Caenorhabditis elegans: one gene and its partners. The protein of the gene in region 4 interacts with the protein of the main gene of each other region in a pairwise test. Each region holds a gene or a part of one and is shown on either strand. Other genes may lie near its edges. The genes, in order: ant-1.1, clec-48, zipt-2.3 and stam-1.

The links.
Region 1: the proteins of stam-1 (region 4) and ant-1.1 interact in a two-hybrid assay, tested with the Caenorhabditis elegans proteins (one large-scale study listed by BioGRID).
Region 2: the proteins of stam-1 (region 4) and clec-48 interact in a two-hybrid assay, tested with the Caenorhabditis elegans proteins (one large-scale study listed by BioGRID).
Region 3: the proteins of stam-1 (region 4) and zipt-2.3 interact in a two-hybrid assay, tested with the Caenorhabditis elegans proteins (one large-scale study listed by BioGRID).

The regions. Positions count from the first base shown.
Region 1 is NC_003281.10:13,460,726-13,465,532, reverse strand, and holds ant-1.1 (ADP/ATP translocase), read right to left. Parts: upstream 2,371-4,807; 5' UTR 2,303-2,370; coding exon 2,245-2,302; intron 2,137-2,244; coding exon 2,072-2,136; intron 2,027-2,071; coding exon 1,806-2,026; intron 1,753-1,805; coding exon 1,194-1,752; 3' UTR 881-1,193; downstream 1-880. Other genes in the region: cdk-5 (Cyclin-dependent-like kinase 5), read left to right, coding at 1-95, 496-576, 629-715; T27E9.2 (Cytochrome b-c1 complex subunit 6), read left to right, coding at 2,949-3,176; abcf-2 (ABC transporter domain-containing protein), read left to right, coding at 3,326-3,400, 3,460-3,648, 3,700-4,807.
Region 2 is NC_003283.11:18,155,813-18,160,810, reverse strand, and holds clec-48 (C-type lectin domain-containing protein), read right to left. Parts: upstream 2,934-4,998; 5' UTR 2,785-2,933; coding exon 2,690-2,784; intron 2,639-2,689; coding exon 2,244-2,638; intron 1,776-2,243; coding exon 1,572-1,775; intron 1,515-1,571; coding exon 1,243-1,514; 3' UTR 1,197-1,242; downstream 1-1,196. Other genes in the region: C14A6.13 (STP1 protein), read left to right, coding at 70-129, 176-226, 277-366, 539-598, 893-1,126.
Region 3 is NC_003280.10:13,711,805-13,718,068, forward strand, and holds zipt-2.3 (Zinc transporter ZIP3), read right to left. Parts: upstream 4,076-6,264; 5' UTR 4,040-4,075; coding exon 3,959-4,039; intron 3,453-3,958; coding exon 3,322-3,452; intron 2,952-3,321; coding exon 2,687-2,951; intron 2,459-2,686; exon of another isoform or gene 2,398-2,458; intron 2,348-2,397; coding exon 1,970-2,347; intron 1,320-1,969; coding exon 1,215-1,319; 3' UTR 1,102-1,214; downstream 1-1,101. Other genes in the region: kqt-3 (Potassium voltage-gated channel subfamily KQT member 1), read left to right, coding at 1-37, 729-941.
Region 4 is NC_003279.8:5,901,064-5,907,364, forward strand, and holds stam-1 (Signal transducing adapter molecule 1), read right to left. Parts: upstream 3,633-6,301; 5' UTR 3,577-3,632; coding exon 3,571-3,576; intron 3,265-3,570; coding exon 3,157-3,264; intron 2,975-3,156; coding exon 2,783-2,974; intron 2,581-2,782; coding exon 2,383-2,580; intron 2,330-2,382; coding exon 2,079-2,329; intron 1,915-2,078; coding exon 1,482-1,914; coding exon of another isoform or gene 1,452-1,481; intron 1,385-1,451; coding exon 1,199-1,384; 3' UTR 1,042-1,198; downstream 1-1,041. Other genes in the region: tyr-4 (ShKT domain-containing protein), read left to right, coding at 164-493, 547-971; hpo-27 (Maestro heat-like repeat-containing protein family member 1 homolog), read left to right, coding at 5,648-5,681, 5,830-5,981, 6,030-6,301.

The DNA of each region.
Region 1 (4,807 bases), on a different chromosome or scaffold from region 4:
CTGATGTTGACGATCAATTGAAACGAATTTTTAAGCAATTGGGCAGCCCATCCGAAGATAATTGGCCATCAATTACACAACTTCCAGATTATAAGGTATTACATGTCGTAGTTCTTTGAATTTTTTGTATTTTCACCTCTACATATTCTTATCAAATTCTCTTAGTTCTCTAATTCCGTCTTCTTATCTTTTCCATTTTACCTGCCACGATTTTGCCGCTGTCCTGTCCTCCCGACTACTATCCGCCCGTGTCAATTGGTGAAAAACTAAAAAAGAAAAAGATAGAAAGAAGAAATGATATTGAGTACTTTGAGCTCAGCTGTTTGTTCGGGTGACGTAATTCATACAATCACGGGCGGCTGGGACAGGACAGAGAACAGAGTATTGAGTAGATTTAGAGAAGCAGAGACAACTGTTCTAGATTTAAGATTGACAATAATTAATTGAATTCCATTGCATTATAGGAACACACAAGTATAACATACCATTTTTCAGCCCTACCCAATCTACCATCCAACGCTTACATGGAGCCAAATCGTACCTAATTTGAATTCACGTGGCCGTGATCTTTTACAGGTAACTTTTTTCCAATAAAAATTATACTTACTCAAACTCGAAGTATTTGCAGAAACTTCTTGTTTGCAATCCAGCAGGAAGAATCGATGCCGATGCAGCTCTACGCCATGCGTACTTCGCAGACACTTCTGACGTCTAACTATTCACTATTGCACTTTCCTACTCACATTGTTTTCTCGCTTTCCCTGGCATTCACTTCCCCCACTGACCCCAAATGAACCTCATTGCTTGCGAAACAAAATCTCATCGTTAATAAACGGCTACGGTTTGAAATCTTTCTGTGGCACATAATTGAACGAAGGGAAAATCAACAACGTTTTATTGTTGTTCGAGTAATTTTAAAGATCAACGGCAAACACAGGTGCAATAACCGAGATTGTCAAACCGAGTCCAGATAAAGGGGCTATCCTAACGAATGTTCAATCGGGGTGTTGAGGGAAAGAATGAGAATTTGAAAAGGGGAAAACTTTAATAGAGGATTTAAAACTTTTTATGTGGCTCGCTTTATTTTTGAAAACTTAACATAGTAGCTAGGTGAACTACTTTGCTAAAACAAGCTACATAACGAGATTTTGTTGGACAATGACAAGGTAAAAATTATCAAAGTGTTATCAAATTTAAAGGAACTTCTGGATTTCGTCGTAGATGGCCAAGACGAGGGCTCCTCCGGTTCCACGGAAGACGTTGGAGAGGGCTCCCTTGAACATAGCGGACATTCCTTCGTTTTGGATGATCTTCTTTGCGCAATCGAGGGTGTTTTTGTAGAGGATATCCTTGCGTCCAGACTGCATCATCATACGACGACGAACAGTGTCCCATGGGTAGGAAAGGATTCCAGATCCGACTGTGACAACTTGAGCAATTCCCCAAGCGGCGAAGAAGTTGAGTTTCTGTCCATCAGAAGCGAAGACCATCTTGGCGGTATCGAACATTCCGAAGTATGCGGCACGGTAGATGATAATTCCTTGCACGGAGACGAAGAATCCTCTGTAGAGTCCGATTGGTCCATCGGATTTCACGATCTTGATAAGGCAGTCAGCAAGTCCCTTGAATTCACGGTCGTTGGCCTTTCCAATATCAGCAGCAAGACGGGTACGGGCAAAGTCGAGTGGGTAGACGAAGCAGAGGGAGGTGGCTCCAGCAGCTCCTCCGGAAGCCAAGTTTCCTGCGAAGAACCTGAATTTCAAATGTGAAATTTTCTAAAAACAATAATGCAATGTTTAACTTACTTCCAGAAGTCCTTCTTTTTGTCGAGTCCCTCAAGGAAGATTGCCTTGTATGTGTCCTTGAAGGCGAAGTTCATGGCCTGAGTTGGGAAGTACCGGATGACGTTAGCGAGGTTTCCTCTCCAGAGGGCAGCAACTCCTTGCTCCTTTGGGACACGGATGAGAACATCCATGATTCCCTTGTAACGCTTGTCAACGGCGATAGCCTTGGAAGCATCTTGGACCTAAAATTTTTCATATTTATAGTGGAAAAAAGTTTCATCACACACCTGGAGGAGAAGCTTGACACGCTCAATTGGGGCAACAGCGGTCTTGGAGACGGCAGCAGCGGTACCTAAAAGAAAACAAAATTAATTAAATCACAAATTTGACGAATGAAAACCCAAAATTAATAATTATAGAAATCCTCCAAATTTTTGCAATAAAAACTGAAAAAGCTTACCTCCTGAGGCGAGATCGATCAAGAACTTTTTGGTGTCGAAGGACTTTTCTTTGGACATGATTCAAGATTGAAGGACCTCGGTGGTCGGTGCTTGCCAGAAGCAATAGTGGGAAGACGGCCGCCCGTCGAAACGGGGTGCGCGCACAGCCCGTGAGGCACTTTGCAGGTCTCGCCACGCTCGCAAGTACGGTGCGTCAGGCGCGGCGATTCAAACACTAGTTTTCTCTGACCGCCCAGTTTTGGGATTTTTTGCATATTTTGAGCCTAAATATCAGTTTTGTTATCGATTTTTCGTATTTTTCTTTTCTAAACGTGTTCGTTCCTTCATTCCTGAATTTTTCACGTTTTGTTTTATTAAAAAAACGTGATTTATTTTCGAAAAATAGGTCATAACTCCAAGAAAGTAACTTAATTGCGAAAGTTTCAGTTTTTATGAAAATTATGAGCCATGTCAAAGCAAACACAATAGTGTATTAGTGATAAGCAGTACTTGAAGTGTTTTTTGTTTATTTACACTGTAGATAACTGGTTATTCGTAACCTCAATGTTCCGAAAAAAATCGATATCGCATTGTGGCTAATTTATGCCTACGGGAGTTTGGTATGACCGGTTTTTCGAATCGCTTTAAAGTAGTTTTCTTCATATTTCTCTTCTCATCGAGCCAATGACTTGTCACTATCATGGAATTTTTTTCGGGTATCAGTATGTCGAGCCACAAGGAAGAGCCACTCGAGGCTGACGTCGATCAACTTACTCAATACCGTGAGCGATGTGCCGACCATGTCACCGAATTCAAGAGTATTCTCGACGAGTGCAACGATCGTGTCAACTCTCGTTCTAACACTGAGGAGACCTGCCATCAGGAGATGGCTGACTACGTTCACCATTTGGATCACTGTGCCATGCCAAAGGCCTTCGCTTCGTTGAAATAATATTTCTTTTCCTGCTTTTTTTGAGGATTTCTCGTCTAGTTTATGTGAATTTTCGCTCTCGTATTTTTTATCCGTCGCTTTTTCCGTGTATTTGAGAGATAAATAAATAAAAATTTAGGGTACCCCATCCGCATCACTGCTGGACAACAATGCCGTCTGATGCGAAGAAAGCACGCGAGGCCGCTAAGAAGGCTGCCGCCAAAGGAGGAAAAGGAAAAAAGAAGGTGAGCAATTGATTTTTAGTTTTTTTTTGTTTAACAAATAATAATCATCTCATTTCCAGGTAGAAACACCAACCGCCATGTCATCTCAACATCCGTCCGTCAACAGTCTCTGCTGTTTAGACGAGGAGCTCGATCAGGCCGCCGCCACCTTGGCCAAAATCGAATTGGAAAACGCTGCTGCTCGTTCAGTCGCCGGATCATTGACTTCCGATCCAAAGGGTCTTGATCACAGAGTAGAAAGCCTGACGGTAAGTGGTTTTTAATTGGCGACTCCAACAAGTAACTTTGTTTTCATTCAGATTACATTCCACGGTCGTGAAATTGTCGTTGACACGAAACTCGAACTCAACCGTGGACGTCGTTACGGACTCATCGGATTGAACGGATCTGGAAAGTCTACCATCATTCAGGCAATCTACAACAAGGAAATGCCAATCCCAGAGTCCGTGGATATGTACCTCGTATCCCGTGAAATGCCTGCTTCAGAGAAAACTGCTCTTCAAGCGGTCGTTGATGTCGATTCAGTCAGAAAAGAGTTGGAACATCTTGCCGAGCAGCTTGCTAGTCAGACTGATGAGGAAAGTCAGGACAAGCTGATGGATGTTTACGAAAGGCTGGATGAAATGGATGCATCTCTCGCTGAAAAGAAGGCTGCCGAAATTTTGCACGGACTTGGATTCACAAAAACTATGCAAATGAAAAAATGTAAAGATTTTTCTGGAGGATGGAGAATGCGCATTGCTCTCGCTCGTGCACTTTTCCTGAAACCGTCAGTCTTACTTCTCGACGAACCGACCAATCATTTGGATTTGGAAGCTTGTGTGTGGCTTGAGGAGGAACTCGCTCAGTATAAAAGAACCTTGTTGGTGGTTTCTCACTCTCAAGATTTCATGAACGGAGTTTGCACCAACATCATTCATTTGTTCCAAAAGCAATTGGTTTACTATGGAGGAAACTACGACCAGTTTGTGAAGACACGTCTTGAATTGCTCGAAAATCAACAAAAACGATACAACTGGGAACAGTCTCAACTTCAACACATGAAAGATTACGTCGCGAGGTTCGGTCACGGTTCTGCCAAACTCGCTCGTCAAGCTCAATCCAAAGAAAAAACTATGGCTAAGATGATTGCCGGAGGCCTCGCTGAAAAGGCTGTCACTGAAACCGTGAAACAGTTTTACTTCTTTGATGCTGGGGAGATTCCACCACCAGTTATCATGGTTCAGCATGTTTCATTCCGATACAACGAGAATACTCCATGGATCTATAAGGATATTGACTTTGGAATTGATTTGGATACCAGAATCGCTTTGGTCGGACCTAACGGAGCTGGAAAATCGACACTGTTGAAGCTTCTCTGTACTGATGTGATGCCAACTGACGGATTGATCAGAAGACATTCGCATT
Region 2 (4,998 bases), on a different chromosome or scaffold from region 4:
ATTAATAAAAACATAAACTTTAAAAGTTGGAAATTATCGATTAATTCCAACAATAAATCCAATTTTCAGACGGTAGAAAATCTGAAAAATCTGGAAAAACTTGTGGAGCAAGACGAGAATGGAAATGCGGTGGGCATCCAGAAAAACTTTTTTCTGTAATGTACCTAAATTACAGGAAATTTCCGCGGAAGATCAAGAGATTCTATCGATGCTGAAATTGGATCAAGTAAGAGACTTTGTGCACCAGAACTTCTAGAACTACGGGAATATTTTCAGAATGCTCATAAAGCAATTTTGAATCTTCGCAACTCGGATTTTGAGGGTCTTGAGCCGGAAGTTAAAGACACAATTATGTATTTCAGAAAGGTGAGCATTTCCTGATTCTGAACAACTGAATTTTATAGATTTCGCTCAAAAACTAACAGATTTACGGCTAATTTTCAAATAGAGTGAAGGAGGGGAGAGAGCGCAGACGACGAGAGTGTCTCGTTTCTCTTTCTCTCCTCACATTACCTCACACTCATTATACATTTTTCAGATTGAAATGGAAGACGAGGTATTCGGAAAAGAGCCGGTGGATGCTTCTGATAGTGACGAAGTAAGTATTGAGGGGGAGGAGAGACCGCAGACAGTAAGACACTATAACTGTCTGCGGTCTCCCAAAAATTAGAGGAGGACCTAAGCAAAAGCCTAAGACAAAGCCTAAGCCTAAGTGTAAGCTTGAGTCTAATTCATAGCCATAGCCAAAGCCATAGCCAAAGTCAAAGCCTAAGCCAAAGCCAAAGGCAAAGCCGAAACCGCAGCCTAAGCCTAAATTAAAGCCTCAGCATAAGCATAAGCCTAAATCTAAGCCAAAATATAAGCCCCTAATTTTTGTAAATTCTTCTTCCAGAACGTCAAAAACAGCACCACTTCTGAGCCTGAAATTGAAGATGACACCGACTCGGACATCGAATCTGAAATTCTCGAGACTGATGAGATGGATGACGTTTCCACTTCTCCAACGATGACGTCATCGGCTCCAAAATTCGCTCTCATCTTCATTATTCCAATTTTCCTTGCAATTCTTCTGTACTTGGCGCCAATCGATTTTTCGGAACTTTTCAATGGACTCTATGAGAACTGAATTCTACTTGCTGATATAAAAAATTACTGGATTATTTTTTGTTGCTTGAATTATTTAAAAGCAGGGTGTTAAAAAGCTTAGTTTTATCTTGAAATTGTACTACTAACAACAATTATCTAATTATGAATCGAAGCCTTCTTGCAAATATAAGCCCGCATCACTTCATTACACTCCAAATTGTTCCAGTTTTCATACCATTTATCATGAGAAAGATCGGGAGCAGTTTGCACGCAGAATTCTTTTTTCGGATTGTCAGGCTGCTTTGGAGCCCAGTTGAAGTAGTCCGATGGGGTACCGTCAGTCCATACCCAGTCCTGACCGACTTTGTGCATACCGATCCATGCGAGGTGTTCATATTTACCTTCTTTGATTCCACAGGAGGCAATGTCTGAAGTCAAAAATGTTGCGCAAGCCTAAACCAGAGCCCAAAATATTAGATACTCACTATTCACAAAAGTGTTTTCTGCCAGCGAGTGAATCGAGGCGAGATGTCCTCCCAACAGCACACACGATGCCTCAGCGTCATTAAACTTTTCACCATGGTACACACGATAACAGAAGTCGGTTGGAGAGAAGTAGGTCCAGCCTTGATCACAAGACGGGACACACTGTTTAATGGGACATGGAGCTGGGGTAGGGCATGTGGTTGCTGGAAAAAGGCAGGTTTAAAATATTGACAATGCTGACTATATTACTGTTGCAGTAATCAGTTGAGTTCAATAGAACCTTGACAACCGGGTTTTTTAAGTCTTGATGTCAGAGTTGAAGAGTATGTTCCTATGGTTTTTTTCGACGCAAAACGGGTTCCGAAATATTTTTTATGTGGAATGTTCTTACCGCGCGTTTAGTCATCGTTTTAGCAATTTTTGTGTAAAATTCGCGTAGCTCACGCGTTTACCATAATGAATTTGTTGATCACAATAAAAAAAACAACAGAATTCTGGTTTAAGAGATAAATACACAGTGATCTACTTGTGATCTACGCGAATTTTACACAGAAAAGGCTAGAAATGATGACTAAATGAGACACGCTTACACCACGTGGTGATGACAATATTTCAAATGAGTTTCATTTCACAATGGCACGAAATTCAAATTGATGTTTTAGTTCACTTACGAATGGGTGTAGTGATTGGTGGACACGTGGCAGTCATAATAACAGGAGTAACACATAAATATGGCCTGTAGGAAGTACATCCAATAGCCGACCAGGTTCCGTCTCCCTTATCCTGAATTGCACAATCACTTCCGGATTGAGGCTCGCCGAGTTGCCAGTTGGAATAATCAAATGTCACTGATGGATCTGTCCATTTCCAGGTACCAGATGTCTCGAGATCGTTGGCTCCGATCCAGTAATCGGAGTAGTTGGATTTTTTGAAAGAGTTGGCTGCATTTGACTGGAGAAGAGCGTTTTCTTGGCCGTTCTGGACGGAGGCAAGGTGGCCACCGAGGAGGTTACATTGCTGTTCGGCAAATGAGAATTGAGCGGGGGCGGTGAAGTATTGGTAGCATCTGGAGAACGGACAGGTAGGTAGGTAGGTAACCATCATCAAAGAAACATACCTATTAAACTGCGAATTATAAATCCCACCGGTGTTACAGTTCTGTGCTGTGGCGGCTCCCAATAGCCCGAATAGAAGTAGTGTTAACCTGATCATGATGGAGCAGAGAAAATGAGAGTTCATAATGGAATATAGTCTTTAATAAAGGCGGAGTCAATTTTTAATGGTCAATAAAACCTGAAAACCCCGGAAAGAAACCCGTAAAAATAGGAAGCACACGTCTATGATAAGACAACAGTTCAATTGACCAAGTAAGTGTTTTCTTGAAGCACGGGGTACATAGAACAAAATATGATTAGGCAGACCACATGGAAATCAGAAATCAGAGATCAGTATCGAAAATTGCTCCTAGAGGGTGCTGGCCGGGCCGGTAGCTGGGGTCCTCGGCACTGTGGTACTACTGTACTGTACTGTGGTATTGGTACTATTCGGAAATTCTGACAGCGGCACCCTGGTAAATCCAGGTCTCAGTTCAATTTAAGCGTACAACTAAAATCTGAGAAGCTGTCAAGCCGACTTCATTTATTTATTTATTTTGATACGATTAGTTAATCGTGTAAAAAATTAAATACCAATAGAACACATACACATAATCAAATAAAGCAATCAATATAAAAAGAAACATAGTCATAAGAAATACATAATAATCAATTGACATGTAAAGTGTATAATTATCACCTGAAATTGAGATTAGTAGAGAGACAATGCAAGAAAACATATGAAGAGGGTAAAGAATACAGCTAACTAGGCAATTTTTGGGACTTGACAATATCCAATTAGACCACACTAACCTTTAAAAGTACTAAGAGCCCTATTTGCGAAAAAATGCCTTCTTAATTTTGTTTTGCACTTCGCCCAGATGAACTTTGTTTTGGTGCGAGTTTTGTTGTTTTTATCAATTTCAAAGAATTTATTTGTATCAATATCAACTTTTTTCGCCAGCATTCGCTTAATGAATTTTCTATCAATAGCCATTCTTCGAGATTCTAGGGAAGATAAATTAAACAGTTCATTGCGTTCGGTTGCGTTTTTATAGTCTGGATCGTCCGTACGGGTGTATCTGTCTTTTTGCCTACTATATAGTTTTCTTGTAAATGAGTTTTGCACTGATTCAATCGCTTTAATGTCTTGCTTTTTAATGGGCTACTGACTTCTGTACCATACTCTAGAATTGGGCGTACGAATGTTTTGTACAACAATGTCCTAGAACTACAATAGTTTGCGAATACCTTCATGCATCTTTCAATTCAATTTTCAACAGTATCAAATGTGTAACCAATTTATTAAATATTAGTATACATATCAATATATCTATGCATGAATAGATCCCTTCTTGCAGATATAAGCTCTCATCTCGGTGCTGCACGCTTCGTTATTCCAGTTCTCATACCATTTATCGTGAGAAAGATCCGGCGCCGTCTCCACACAATTTTCCTTTCCTGGATTGTCAGGCTGCTTTGGTGCCCAGTTGATGTAGTTTGATGGGGTACCGTCAGTCCATACCCAGTCCTGACCAACCTTGTGCATACCGATCCATGCGAGGTGTTCATATTTACCTTCTTTGATTCCACAGGAGGCAATGTCTGAAGTCAAAAATGTTGCGCAAGCCTAAACCAGAGCCCAAAATATTAGATTCCGGCAATGTGCCGGAATAGAAAACTTTAGGCAAATTTGACAAGCCGGCAATTTACCGGAACTTAAAGTTTCCAGCAAATCGACAAACTGGGAAATTGCCGAAATTGAAAATATCCGGCAAATCGACAATCTGCCGGAACTGAAAACTTCCAACATATCGGCAAAACGGCAATGTGCCGGAATTGAAAATTTCTGGCAAACTGGCAAACCGGCAATTTGCCGGAATTGAAAATTTCCAGCAAATTGGCAAGCCTGTAATTTGCCGAACGGCAATTGCCACCCACTACAAAATTGACCAAAATTGAATACCCACCTGCAAAAAGCTTCATGAAAAACTGAAACAGCACCGGTACGGCCGCTGCAAAGCCGGTCTTCTCCACTGAATAGCCTCCAATATCGTGTAAATAGACAGGTGAGTAGATGTGAATCAGTTGGACGGCTATAAGATCTCCCAGAGCACCAATCCATATACCCCAGACAGATGGAGTTGTGAGAATTTCCAGGTAAGGTGTCGCCTCTCGCTTGCCATTTGCTGCGTCGGACTTTCCTCGTTGGATTTCGAGAAGCTCCGAGGACTTTACCAGCTTGTTGGTGCCTGGAATTAGACTGTGTTAGACGAGATTAGACCATACTGGCAGTTAAAGGTGGAGTACCGAAATTTGAGAATTTGCCATT
Region 3 (6,264 bases), on a different chromosome or scaffold from region 4:
GACAATTGGTTCCAGACTGTCGCGTCTCGAATTACAGGTTTGTCAATGAAATGGCGAAATGATAAGAGATCAAATTGATAAGAAAACGAGAATTTTTTTTTCTGAATTTCACACCTTTTGGTCAGAAATGTTGCGGAATTTGGAAGAAAATGAAAAAAAAAAACAATTAAAGTTCTTAAACTGTGAGATAAGAAATGTTTTGAACTATTTTTGGTCCAAACTGTACCGTCAATTTCATCGTATCTAGAAAGTATCCCTACAGTAACCCTACAGTAACCCTACCGCACCTCTGATTTTATATAACCTATCCTACAGTAGCGCAGTGTTCCTACAGTAATCCTAGAGTAAGCCTAGTACTGCTACCCTACAGTAGAAAAAGGACCCTTCAGTAATCCTACAGTTCCCCTACAGTAACTCTACCGTACCTCTATATTCATAGGACCCCTACAGTACCCCTAGCGTAATACTGCTACCCTACAGCAGTGAAGGGATCCTACAGTAAGGCTACAGTAACCCTACAGTACCCCTAGCGTACCTGTGATATCATCACTTTTACAGTGTCCCTACAGTACCCCTCCCCCCCCCCCCCCCTACATTCCCAACCCCTATACCTCCAAGTATATCGTACTACTACAGTACCCCCCTCCTACCGTACCTCTAAATTTATAGGACCCCTACAGTACCCCCAAACTACCGTACCCCTCACTAAAACCCTCTCATTTTTTCAGATGTCAAGCCTCGACCGAAAAGTGGAGTCTAGTAACCGAACACTGAACGCTCTCTATCGCCTAATGGCCGACCGGAACTCGCTGACGATATCTCCATCACCGCCGGCACTGATAAGTAGGCCAGTGTCGCCTGCCGCCTGCCTATCACCACGAGATCAACTCTCGCCGACAAGCATCAGCAGTCAAAGATCCGGATCACCGGGCTGGCAGTAATGTGTATCGATTGATTTTAGGGGGCATAATTGTGGCCAAGGTTTTTCACGACCACGACGCATCAACAGCGGGTATTTTTCATTGATTCTTTTCATTTTCTCTTACTGTGGTTCAAACATTTCTGGTTTTGTATTCAAAAAAAAATTTCAAGACAAAAAAAAAAAATAATAAGTTTATTTTTTCTTTAAATGTTGTTTTCAAATCTACCGGTATGTCAGATATGACGTATAATATGCAAGGTGTTAAGAAATTGTGAAACAAAAAAAAAAAAGATTAGGTAGCCCAAATCATGTTGACAGCGAGAAGGGCGAATCCTCCAAAACTGGCGATCCACTGAAGGATGTTGGAGTGGTTGTTGGCACGTTCTGGGGCAAGGATCTGGAAGAAAAAAGATATATGAATGGGGTTAATTGTAGGTAAAGTGGCTTTACAGTAATCCTACAGTAATCCTACAATAAACCTAGAACTGTCACCCTATAGTAGTATAGTGTTCCTACAGTAATCGTAATACTACTACCTTATAGTAGAAAAAAGCTCCTACAGTAATCCTCCAGCAAACCTAGAGCTGTCACCCTACAGTAGTAGTGTTCCTACAGTAATCCTACAGTAAACCTACAGTAATATATTGTTCCTACAGTAGTCCTGGTACTGCCATCCTACAGTACTAAAGAGTTCCTACAGTAATCCCACAGCAAACCTAGAACTGTCACCCTACAGTAACAAAGTGTTCATACAGTAATCCTACAGTAACTCTAGAGCTGTCACCCTACAGTAGTGTATTGATCATACAGAAATCTTAATACTACCACCCTACAGTAATCCTACAGTAAACCTAGGACTGTCACCCTACATTAGTATAGTGTTCCTACAGTAATCCTAGAGTAAACCTAGTACTGCCGCCCTACTATAGTACAATACCCCTAAATTAACCAATACATTAACCCCACATGGCCGCCTTACCATAATACAGTACCCCTACAGTAATTCTACAGTAACCTCGCACTGCCACAATAGTGTCTTAAACTCACCTCAAAAAAGGAGATATAGAGAAAAGTGCCGAGGGAGAAGCTCATCAAAACCGCCGTCGTGATATCCTTCGGCGTCTGATTCATATTCGAGCTGGAGATCAGAATTCCAGCTGTTCCGCCGATCACGTTAAACAGTGCTAAAACCAAAATAAGAATTACGACAATCCAACTGCGTCGCGGATGAGTTCTCGTGAGCTTCATCCCAAGAGAAAACATGACGATCGCCTTATGCATGGCGATTCCCAGGAAGATCGACGTGACTGAAACTGCATCCTCTTGAATTCCAAACGCAAAGCATTCGAAGAAGACGTGAAGGATGAAGGCCGAGGTGAAGATGATTGATTGGCGTACCGGACCCTCACCGTCGTCGTCGTAGTTCTGAAAATGTATGCTTACTTAAAATGCTCATAACTCCGCTAGGCCAACTATTATCAAAATTTTGTTAACTAACAAAATATGAAGTTTTAAATTTTCTATATTTTGTTAGTTGACAACTTTTTTACTTTTCAAGCCTCTAAAAAGTTATGACCGTTTGAAATATAGACACGTCTCCAGATTTCTTTTTTGAAACCCTTGTAGATCAAAGTTAAAAATACTATACATTTTGTACATTTGCACATAGTCTGTCATATTCTTATCACCACTAAGTTATCAGTTTCCAGTTCACTTCAACGAAAAGCTTTTAGTCCAACCAAAAAAAAAGTTCACTGAACCCACCTCTAGACTTCTCTTGCACGGCTCCACTAAATTCCCCTCCACATTGAAAATACTGCCTACAGTAGCTAGTCTCGCACGTGGAAATGTCACATTGGACTCCATAATTGGATCATTTGAATGTGAATGCCCATGGCCTACATTACAGATCACACTGGATAACTCTTCGGTGAGGTAGACGAAGAAGAAGCCGAGTAGGGCGATTAGTTGGACGAATGGGTAGTCACTGGTGTAGTTTGTGTCGGTTTGTACGGATTCCCAGGCTTCTCTGAAATGCTTAGTAGACGTTCTTGCATACATACATGTTTGCTTGGTGGCCGCGAAAAAAGAAAACTCGTCCACCGATTTAGAAATTTTTTTAGCAGTTTTTCAGGGTTCTTTGGGTTTTTTTTCATAAAAATTTAATTTTATTTCCACGACCAGATGGCATTTTTTGTGATTTAAGATTTTTTAAAATTATATTTCCGTTTGAAATTGCAAGAAAAAATTTTTTTGGGAAAAAACTAGGCCACCAAATTAAAAAAAATTTCAAAGAATTTTTGGAGCGATTTTTTTCAGAATTATTAATTTCTTTCCGCCGTTTTTCTTCCAATTTTTGAAAATTATTCACAATTTTTTCCAATTTTTTCCAAACTTACAAGCAATCCGGTAGCATATCCAAAAAGCATACAGACAGGAAAACTCCTCCGGCAAAACAGGAAAATAGTGAGAGAATAAGGGAAGAGTGTTGGTGAATTGCACTTTTCGTCGTGTTCAGGTAGGAAATTACCTGAAAAAAAATTGAACAATTTTATCTTGAATTGCTGTATTTAGCCTGAGCCTTGGCCTAATAGTAAGCCTCAGCCTAATAAGCCTAAATAGCGTCAGTAACGCGCTAACGCTCGCCACTGACGCCAAGCTTAAGCCTAAGCCTAAATAAGCGTAAGCCGAAGCCTAAGTCTAAGCCTAAAAGCCTAATCCTAAATCTTAGCCTAAGCCTAGGCTTAAGCCTCAGCCTAAGCCTAAGCCTCAGCCTAAGTCTAAGCCTCTGCCTAAGCCTAAGCCTCAGCCTAAGCCTAATCCCCTTTTGGAGAATGATCCTACTTGCCTGCCTGCCTGCTTTAACATACGTTTGCCTTGTGTCTACAAAGTAATCTTTTAAATGGAATTAGTAGGTAGGTAGGCGTAAGCAGGTAGGCAGATAGGCAGGTAGGCAGGCAGGTAGGCATAATCAAGGCGTTCAGGCATTTTATTTGCGTAAAAATTCAAAAAATACCCAATATTCAAAAATCTTACCTTTATCGGTAATAGGCCAAAAATTATAGTCATCAAGGCCATAACTCCGAGCATAATCCATTTGAGCAACTCCAAAGACATATTTTGTTCGACCTAAAAATCTGTTGAATGAGTTGATTTCAACTAGAAAAGAGCACAGCAAAATTGATAAGAAACTAGGGCGGAGAGGTCGGGAGAGGCCTTTTTCGATAAGGCCTGGCACATATAGGCCTATCGAGTTTTATAGGTTTTTGCCTGTTTCGTCATGAATTGACATTGTCGTGTTTCGGTGTTTAAGACGGTGGGGCTTTTGGAGTGTATTACTAGAGTTGATGAAAATTAAACACATTTTATGACTTTGATACTGATGTGTACGTTGAACTTGCCGGTTTTTTAATCTAGAAAATTTAAAAAAGAGACAATTTTTATCCTATCATCCTTTTTTTCCGTATTTTTCCACAATTTATTGTTTTATTTTGTCACAAGCTTTATAGGCAACTTTTTTTTTCAACATTTTAAAAACTTGTTCCTTGTCTGAAAGGTTTCTTTCTAGTGATCTGCGCCTTCAAATTTTTTTTTCAAAAGAATTTCAGTTCCTCTAGGAACTTGGCAAGAAATTGGCAAAATTTCTAGAACTTTTTGGTAATCCTACAGTACCCTACAGTTCCCCTATAATACCCCTAAAATACTCATACATTACGCTTACAATACTTCTACAGCACTTCTTTAGTAACCCCACAGTAATTCACGAGTAGTCCTACAGTAATTATACAGTAATCCTTCAGTAGTCACCCTAATGTACTACTACAGTAGTTTTACATTAATCATACAGTACTCTACAATAATTCTATACTAACCCTTCATAACCCTACAATACCGTACAGTATTCCTACTGCCCTCCTACAGTAACCCTACAGTATCGTTCGAGAAAAAAAAAACCTGAATAGCTTAATTATAATTGAATTTCCGCGCCTATTTTTTCGTGCAAAATTCCAGAAAGAAACCAAAAATGGCTTAAAACCGGTATTTTCAAATTTCCGTGTATTTTTTGCATTTTTTTGCGGTAAATTTTTTGAAAATTTCAAAATCGAATATGCAATTTAAAAATGTTATGATTGAAGGCTTGAAAAAAAAACTATTTAACAAATTCAAAATTGAGCCGCTTAAAATGCCAAAACAGTTGTAAATAATAATTTGACAAAAACATCATCATTTCAAAATGAAAAATGTAGAAAACATCCTGCTTTTCAAGCCGTGTGGGCAAATAAACAAATAATAAAGAAGTACTTAAAAACAAGGTTAGCGCCACGTCACAGAACAAGTATCGTGGCCGCCAAACGGAAAAGTTCGGCCACCGAGAACAATTACTTTATTTTTACAGTTGACAAATTGCAAAACGATTATTTGAAGCTTTGAAGCAATGGAACAGAAAATCGAAATTTCCCGGTGATTTAGAAAAATCGCAAAATTTTCCACGAAAATTCCTCCCTCTATATGTATTTTACGATCATATTTGCGAACACCTGTAAAATATTTTTATTGGTTTCGGGGTGATGCGGTTACCGTATTCTAGTTGATCGAAAATGTTAAAAAATTTCAGTGATAATCATTTGTTTTTCTATTAGTTTTTAGTGAATGGAGAAGAATGAGCCATATTTCATCAAAAATTGGAACTTAAAATTTTACAAATAAAAGTGTGTGTTTTTTTTTTTTTGAAATTTTTATTCCAAAATCAGGAGTCGTTTTTGAACACTTCCCTTTTTTGCTAAAATTTCTTTGACATTTCAGATCAACTTGCGATTCGTTTATTTTGTCCCCTCGGGGGACTGGGCCGAGCCCGGCAGCAGTGCAACGCCAGGACGACTCTTGGGAAGTCGGAGCAAGCCCCGAGTCTTCCCTAGGTTCCAAAAATCATATAACCTTTATTACACTCATTCGAGTGTATACCGTAGGTTAATACGATAAGAACAGATACTACACTTTGATCTTAGCTAATAAGCCGAAGAAGCGATACTGAATGGACGAGGCGGCAGAGGTAGTGGGGAGCTGTGTACCGACACTTAAGGGGTGCGCGTGTGCCATTATGCAATGAGCGCAGGCAGAGGTTGGTTGCCTTTTTTGGTCTACAAAAAATGCGGGATTTTTACCCACCAGACAGATGTGACGTCGGCTGAGAAATCGGTCTCTAAATACCCGCAATTCTCGTAGATCAAATCGGCACACCGACACCACGTGCCATTCGCGTTTGCGGGGCGTGAAAAATCTGTAATTTCAAAATTTCGTGAAAAGCCGATGTATAAAGAAAATCGATCAAACTTATGTAAATT
Region 4 (6,301 bases):
TTTAGAAAGATAAAATTGAAAAATATAAACTCTCACATAAATGAAACAAATAAAAACTGACCAAAAATAATAAAAGTTCCTCCAAGCCCCATAAAAACCAAATAAACCCATGCACCTCTAAGTTCGTGTATCGAAAAACTGCAAAATTACGATAATTTTCCAGATTGCACTGATCGTCATACCCAATGCAGTAGCTGGTCCCGCTCCGGTGAATGCACCAAAAATCAACTCTGGATGACTGAAAATTGCCGTAAAAGTTGTAATAAATGTGGTAGATCACGTGCTCAAGAGTGTGGAGGAGGTGGTACTACAGTAACCACGACGACACCTGCTCCAGCTCAACAGTGTGATAATTCTGATGGTTGTTTCAATGAGAATGTTTGCTGTGCTGTATGGGGATTAATGGGAGAATGCCGAAAAAATACAAGATATATGGCATGTAATTGTCGAGTTTCATGTGGACATTGCTATCCTGAAGATTACAATTATGGATGTAAGCTTTATTTTTAAAAAAATATTTTTATAATTAAAAAATATATATTTCAGCATGCGTCGACTACCATAGATCATGTGCCGGATGGGCTCGTGTCGGTGAATGTCAGAAAAATCCATGGATGGCTGAGAATTGTAGATCAAGCTGTAACAGTTGCTATACTCAATCAGAGCTTCGTAGAATGTGTGGAACTACAGCTGGATCAGTTGCTCCAGTTGCACAAGTTCGTCAGACTAATCCATCTCGTCAACCACCACGTGGAGGTTGGGGACGTGACGATTTCGGAGATAATGGAGGATGGGGTGGAAATGGAGGTGGTGGATGGGGAAACAATGATCCATGGGGAGGATCAAGATGGGGTGGTGGAAGAGGTGGATGGGGTGGAGGTGGATGGGGAGGCGGTGGATGGGGTAAACGATCCATTCGAGCAGCCAATGCATCAATTTCAATGCCATCTTTTGATCCGGACCTCTTGTAATTTTTGTTACCTTTTCTCAATTTATCCGATTATTTTCGTGTATAATAAATATTTGCCTCAAACTCAATAAAGAATTCATTTTTATCTTATCGAGAACTCGAGGAAGCAAAAGACTATACAGAAACGGGTGGCGAATCGAGAAAAATAAGTTAGAAGTGATCACAATATCAATGGAACTAGTTACAGATTCAAGGAGGAAAAGGTGATATTCACAACAAATCAAAAAGTTAATATTGTTGAGGCTGTGAAGACGGAGCAGGCCATTGTTGTTGCTGTTGTTGAGGTTGGGGAACAGAATTCGGTGGGCATGCGTACTGTGGTTGTGCTCCAGGAGCCGGATAGTGTTGTGGAGGATATTGTTGTGGCTGCTGTTGTTGGACAGGACCGGTAGGTGGGTAATATGCTCGGTTTGGCTGAAAAATACGATTTTTTGAATTGATAGGCATTACCGTGAAGCTTAGAATGAAAAATTTCAGTTTTCTAAATATTTTTTTCTGAATAAAAACTGACTGGTTGCTGATAGTTGTACTGTTGCATTGGTTGTTGGTACATTCCTTGACTTTGATGCTGAAATCCTCCCTTCTGAATCGCATCATCATAAAGTGCGAGCACATCACGAATAGCCACATCGATTTGTGCTAGAGAGTTGCTCTGTCGATCAATACTAGCCAAATGTGCATCAATGAGATTTCCTTGAGCATACGAGGCGGCTTCTAGTTGGGCCAAATCCTCTGGATCCTGTCGTTCACCGGTAGGATCACATTCATGGAGTACTTGAAGACAACGAACAAGGATTGCTTCATTAATTGAGGCTACAACTTCTGGGGCTTTCTGTGATGAATCCGTCTCTTTTGATTTTAGATCATCGAGTTGATTAGTAACGAAGCTGGATGGGAAAAGTCCCTGTTGGGTACCAATACGACCAGTCCACCAGTGGGGATTGCTGCAAAAAATTGTTTTTTTTTTGATAATTGATAGAAGCAGTCAGTAACGAAAAGGTTCGGTATGATTAATTTTAAATTACAAAAAAAAAAACTGAAGAACTTCCTGATTTGATTTTTAAGCGATTGCTTTCAATTTAAACTAGAACACATTTTTGTTGCTTACCTTTCATCAGTAATTGTAATAATATCTCCAGCAACAAAAGATAATTCATTGCTTTCAGCAGCCTCAAAATCGTATAACGCTCGAACATTCTTTTCCGGAATATTCGAATTAGTCTGAACTGCTGGACTACTTGCTTTTGCTGATGGATACATTGTGGATGTTGATTTTTTTGCTTTTTCCTGTTTCTCTGCATCCGCCAATGAAGCAGCAATGGCTTTTGCGATTGCTTCTTCTTCCTGAGCAGATCCAACCTATAATAATTATTAATTTTTGATATTTATTGCCGCGAACTTCCACAACTCACATAATTCGGATCATTTGCAAACTTTGCATCAATCGCTTTCGTTTTACTTTTTGGATCATCCACAACAAATGAGTAGCCATCAGCAACAAGATTTTTGTGAAGAGTGACGATAAGTGACAGTGATTGTTCAGTTTTGCATTCTGTATCCACCCATTTTTGAACAGTTAATCGCATTTTTTCAGCAACTTGGCGTTGACTCTATAATAATTGTAAATTTTTGTATTTTTTTTTGTAAACGCGGTGAAATGTATCGTATTTTCGTATTATACTTATTTTTCTAACTCTATTTCTCTTTTTTATCTCTTTTCTGCGTATACTATATCTATTAAAGAAATACAAAACTTCATGAAAGAAATTTTGATATTTTGTTTAACAATTTCAGATTTAAACAAAAACTCACCGATGTACAAAGAGCTTTGAGTTCATTGATAAATTGTGCAGACGATACTTCCTTTCTGAATCTTTCTTCACAGTTTGCCCAACACGAATCAAGTACAGAAATCGCTAGAAGGACAACATGAGGATCACGATTGTTGAGACGTTTACGAAGTGATTTGATTCCTGTTTTCGATCCCTCGAAGTCGTTATTAATCTGAAAATTTTAAACTAAAACATTAAGTTTAGTCCAAAATCAATGATTTTCGGTGAAAATCAGCTAGCAAATTTAAGGAGGAAATTTTAATTTTAAAATATGATTTTTTATCAAACGACAAAGAATTCTATCTATAAATCAGTGAAAAGGTTTATACATTTTTTAAAACAAATTGAACGAACCATATCACAAAATGCGAGAATTCCCTCCCAATTCTCAACAGTGATAGTTGGAGCAGTGATTTTTCCGAGCAAATCCTCATAAGCAGACATTGGAAATGACTTTTGTTTCTGAAAATATAAAAAAGGAATATTACGAAAGAAAATTGAATCAATAACGGGTTTGCTTGTTGAATGTGTTAGTCGGGTGAACTGAAAGAGAGAGTGTAGGGGGATGAAGAGACATTAGACGGGTTAAGACACTGACGCATATGCTTTGTGTGTTCGTTCGTGCACACTTTTTTCTATGTTTTTGTTTTGTTTTCTTCCTTTCCGAAAACTTAATCATTTTTTACTGAATGAAAAAAAATCTATTTGAATGAACAATTACTCTTAACACTATTTTTAATTAAAGTAGAGATAGGAAAACGAACAAACCTTCATTGTTACAGCAGACTTTCAGCACGTGATCAGGTTCAATTGAATGAGTCTCACTGAAACTGAATATTTATTTCGAAATAATTTTCAAAAGCGTGATATTTAAAATATTGAGGGCAAAGACGATCGATATTCAATTTAGTTTGAGCAATTTGTTTATTTTTTCGAAAAAATGAATACTTTTGCCTTTCGCAATCGCAGATTTTCGAGAACTTGCGTCTCACGCGTGTACCAATCACATTCATGCGTTTAATTGAAAAAAAAAACATTTTAAAACTGCAATGCACATTTTTATAGAAAAATTAAATAACTTTCGAGAAAAATTAAATTCCAAAGAGAAGAAAGATTGTGGAATAATTCAAAAAAAATGATCTGAACAACTGTAGAATTCGTGGCAGACCCTCATGCTACAAATCGCGCGCTCCTTTAATCTTTCAAATTTTTTTCTCTGTTTAAACATGTTTTTTTTTAATTTTCAGTGTCCATGCTTTTTCTAAACTTTTAAAACTAAATGTTACTCAATAATTAGTTCAAAATTATTAAAAGTAGATTACTGGGACGTTTTTAATGTTTTTTCCTAAAAAATAATACTTTAGAACCTGAAAACGCTTCGTAACAAAATGTTCAATTTTTCGTTTTCAAAAAAATTTGTTCAGACTTCTATTTATTCCATTCATATTTCTTACTTCTCATCGTAATAGAATTTTTAAAAATTGTTGAAAAAAAATCCAAATCCAAATTGTTTATAAGCACAATTGTTTGCACTTTCATTGTTGATTCCACCTGCTTTTCGTTCTTTTCTCTCTCTCTCACCACTCTTCCACTCTGTGTTCATATAAATTTTCATTTCCGTTCGATTCTCTTCACCTAATTCGTCAAAAAGGGGCCCAACAACAGCCACAAGCGGTAGCTGCTGCCGATAGCGAGCCATAAAAATACATCGAAAACGACACGAAACATTATCGATTTAGTTATTTTTTCTATCTAGAGCCAATTCATATTTTTCTATCTAGAGCCAATTCACACGAATTTTTGCATGTGCTTATCAGTTTTTCGACGAAATTTTGTAAACTTGGCGAGTTGATATAGATTAATCAGTGTAATTTGTCCTGTGTACACTGTCTAGAGTTTCCATGTTTGATTTTTTTCAAATTTCAAGTTTGTGGTTTGCAAATAGCTTTGAAATTTTACTGAATGTTCTAGTTTTTTACTAACTCATTTGAATTTTGTAATTCAATGAAATTATATAAGTATTATTCTGGATCGGTTATCAATTTAATCGAAAAAGACGAAAAGTCAATCGACTTGATCATGCAATCCGCGCAAAACTGGTCTATGGCATGCGTAATACAACACATAATGTTCATCACCAACCCCGTGCCTCCCAAAATACACATTGGTACTCATTTTACTCACAAAAACTTTCATAACTTCTTTCTTTAAAGTTATATTTTATTCTTAGTCTTCTATATCGAAATTTTTTTTTGAAATTCGGTTTTAAACCTTAATGGTTTTAATTATTAATTAAAGTTAAAAGTGGACTACGACTAATGGGGAAATTATTAAAAACTATTCATATGCTGTTGAAATTACCGAATCTCGTTATAAAGATTTTCAAAAAATTTTGGAATTTTTTATTTCGAGTCAAATTTGAAAAATCTAAATCACTGTCGCATGTTTGAATCTCCACAATGTTGGAATATAAGTATTTTAAACATAATTAAGTCAAAAAATCGAAGAAAAATTCCATAATTTCCAAATTTTTTGACAATTTTATTATGACATTTAGTCATTTGGTCACAGCATAGGAATTATTTTACACATTCCCCACTGGCAGTAGCCAACCTTCAAGAGAACAACTAATAGGTTGTTAAAAATAATATTCCTAATGTCTGTTCTGAATATTTTCGGTACAATTTTTGAAAAAAATTTCAAAAAAATATTCTTTCGAATTTTTTCTTAAAAACTTATCTCTTACCTTCAGTTTCCTCGGTTAATTAAAAATCCTAGACTATTTTATCTTTTTTCAGTCATTCCAAAATCTATGTAAAGTGGATTGCATCGAATCAGCAACAAAATGGCAGCAACCAGCCAGGTTTCTAGCTTGTTGGGTAAGATTTGCTTTAAAAATGTTTTGAGACCTGAAATTGGATTTTTAATAATTTGGTTTATAAATTTGAAAGAATTTAATATAAAACTGTAATTAAAATATCAGTTTCGTAGTAATCCCATCTAATTATTATATTTCGATAATTTCAGACCTGATAATGAGTCTTCTGGACACAGCAACCACCTACCAACACCAAGAAAGTGTGAAAAATGAAGTAGCAGAATCATTGAAAACAATAGGATCACATCAACCAAATGTTCTATTAACTGCGTGTCATCAATATTTATTACAGAATCCCAAGGTATATTAATTTTCTTATTAAAATTTTTTGAAAAAGTAAAATTTTCAGCTCGGTGCGTTCAAACGGGCGTTTGTTCTTCAAACAATTTCAATATGCGTAGATAATTGTGAAGTAGTTTCGAAATTAGATGAACAAATAATAATGTTGATCATAAATCTTGCAACTCAAGAAATGAACATGACAAAAGATACTGACGTTGAATGGGCAGAATCTTCGATGGAAGTTCTTGTTACTCTGGCAAAGAATACACGATTTGTTAGCCACGTCATCGATGCAATTCTACAGAAATTTCCACCTGGACAAACGACAAGTCCTCATCG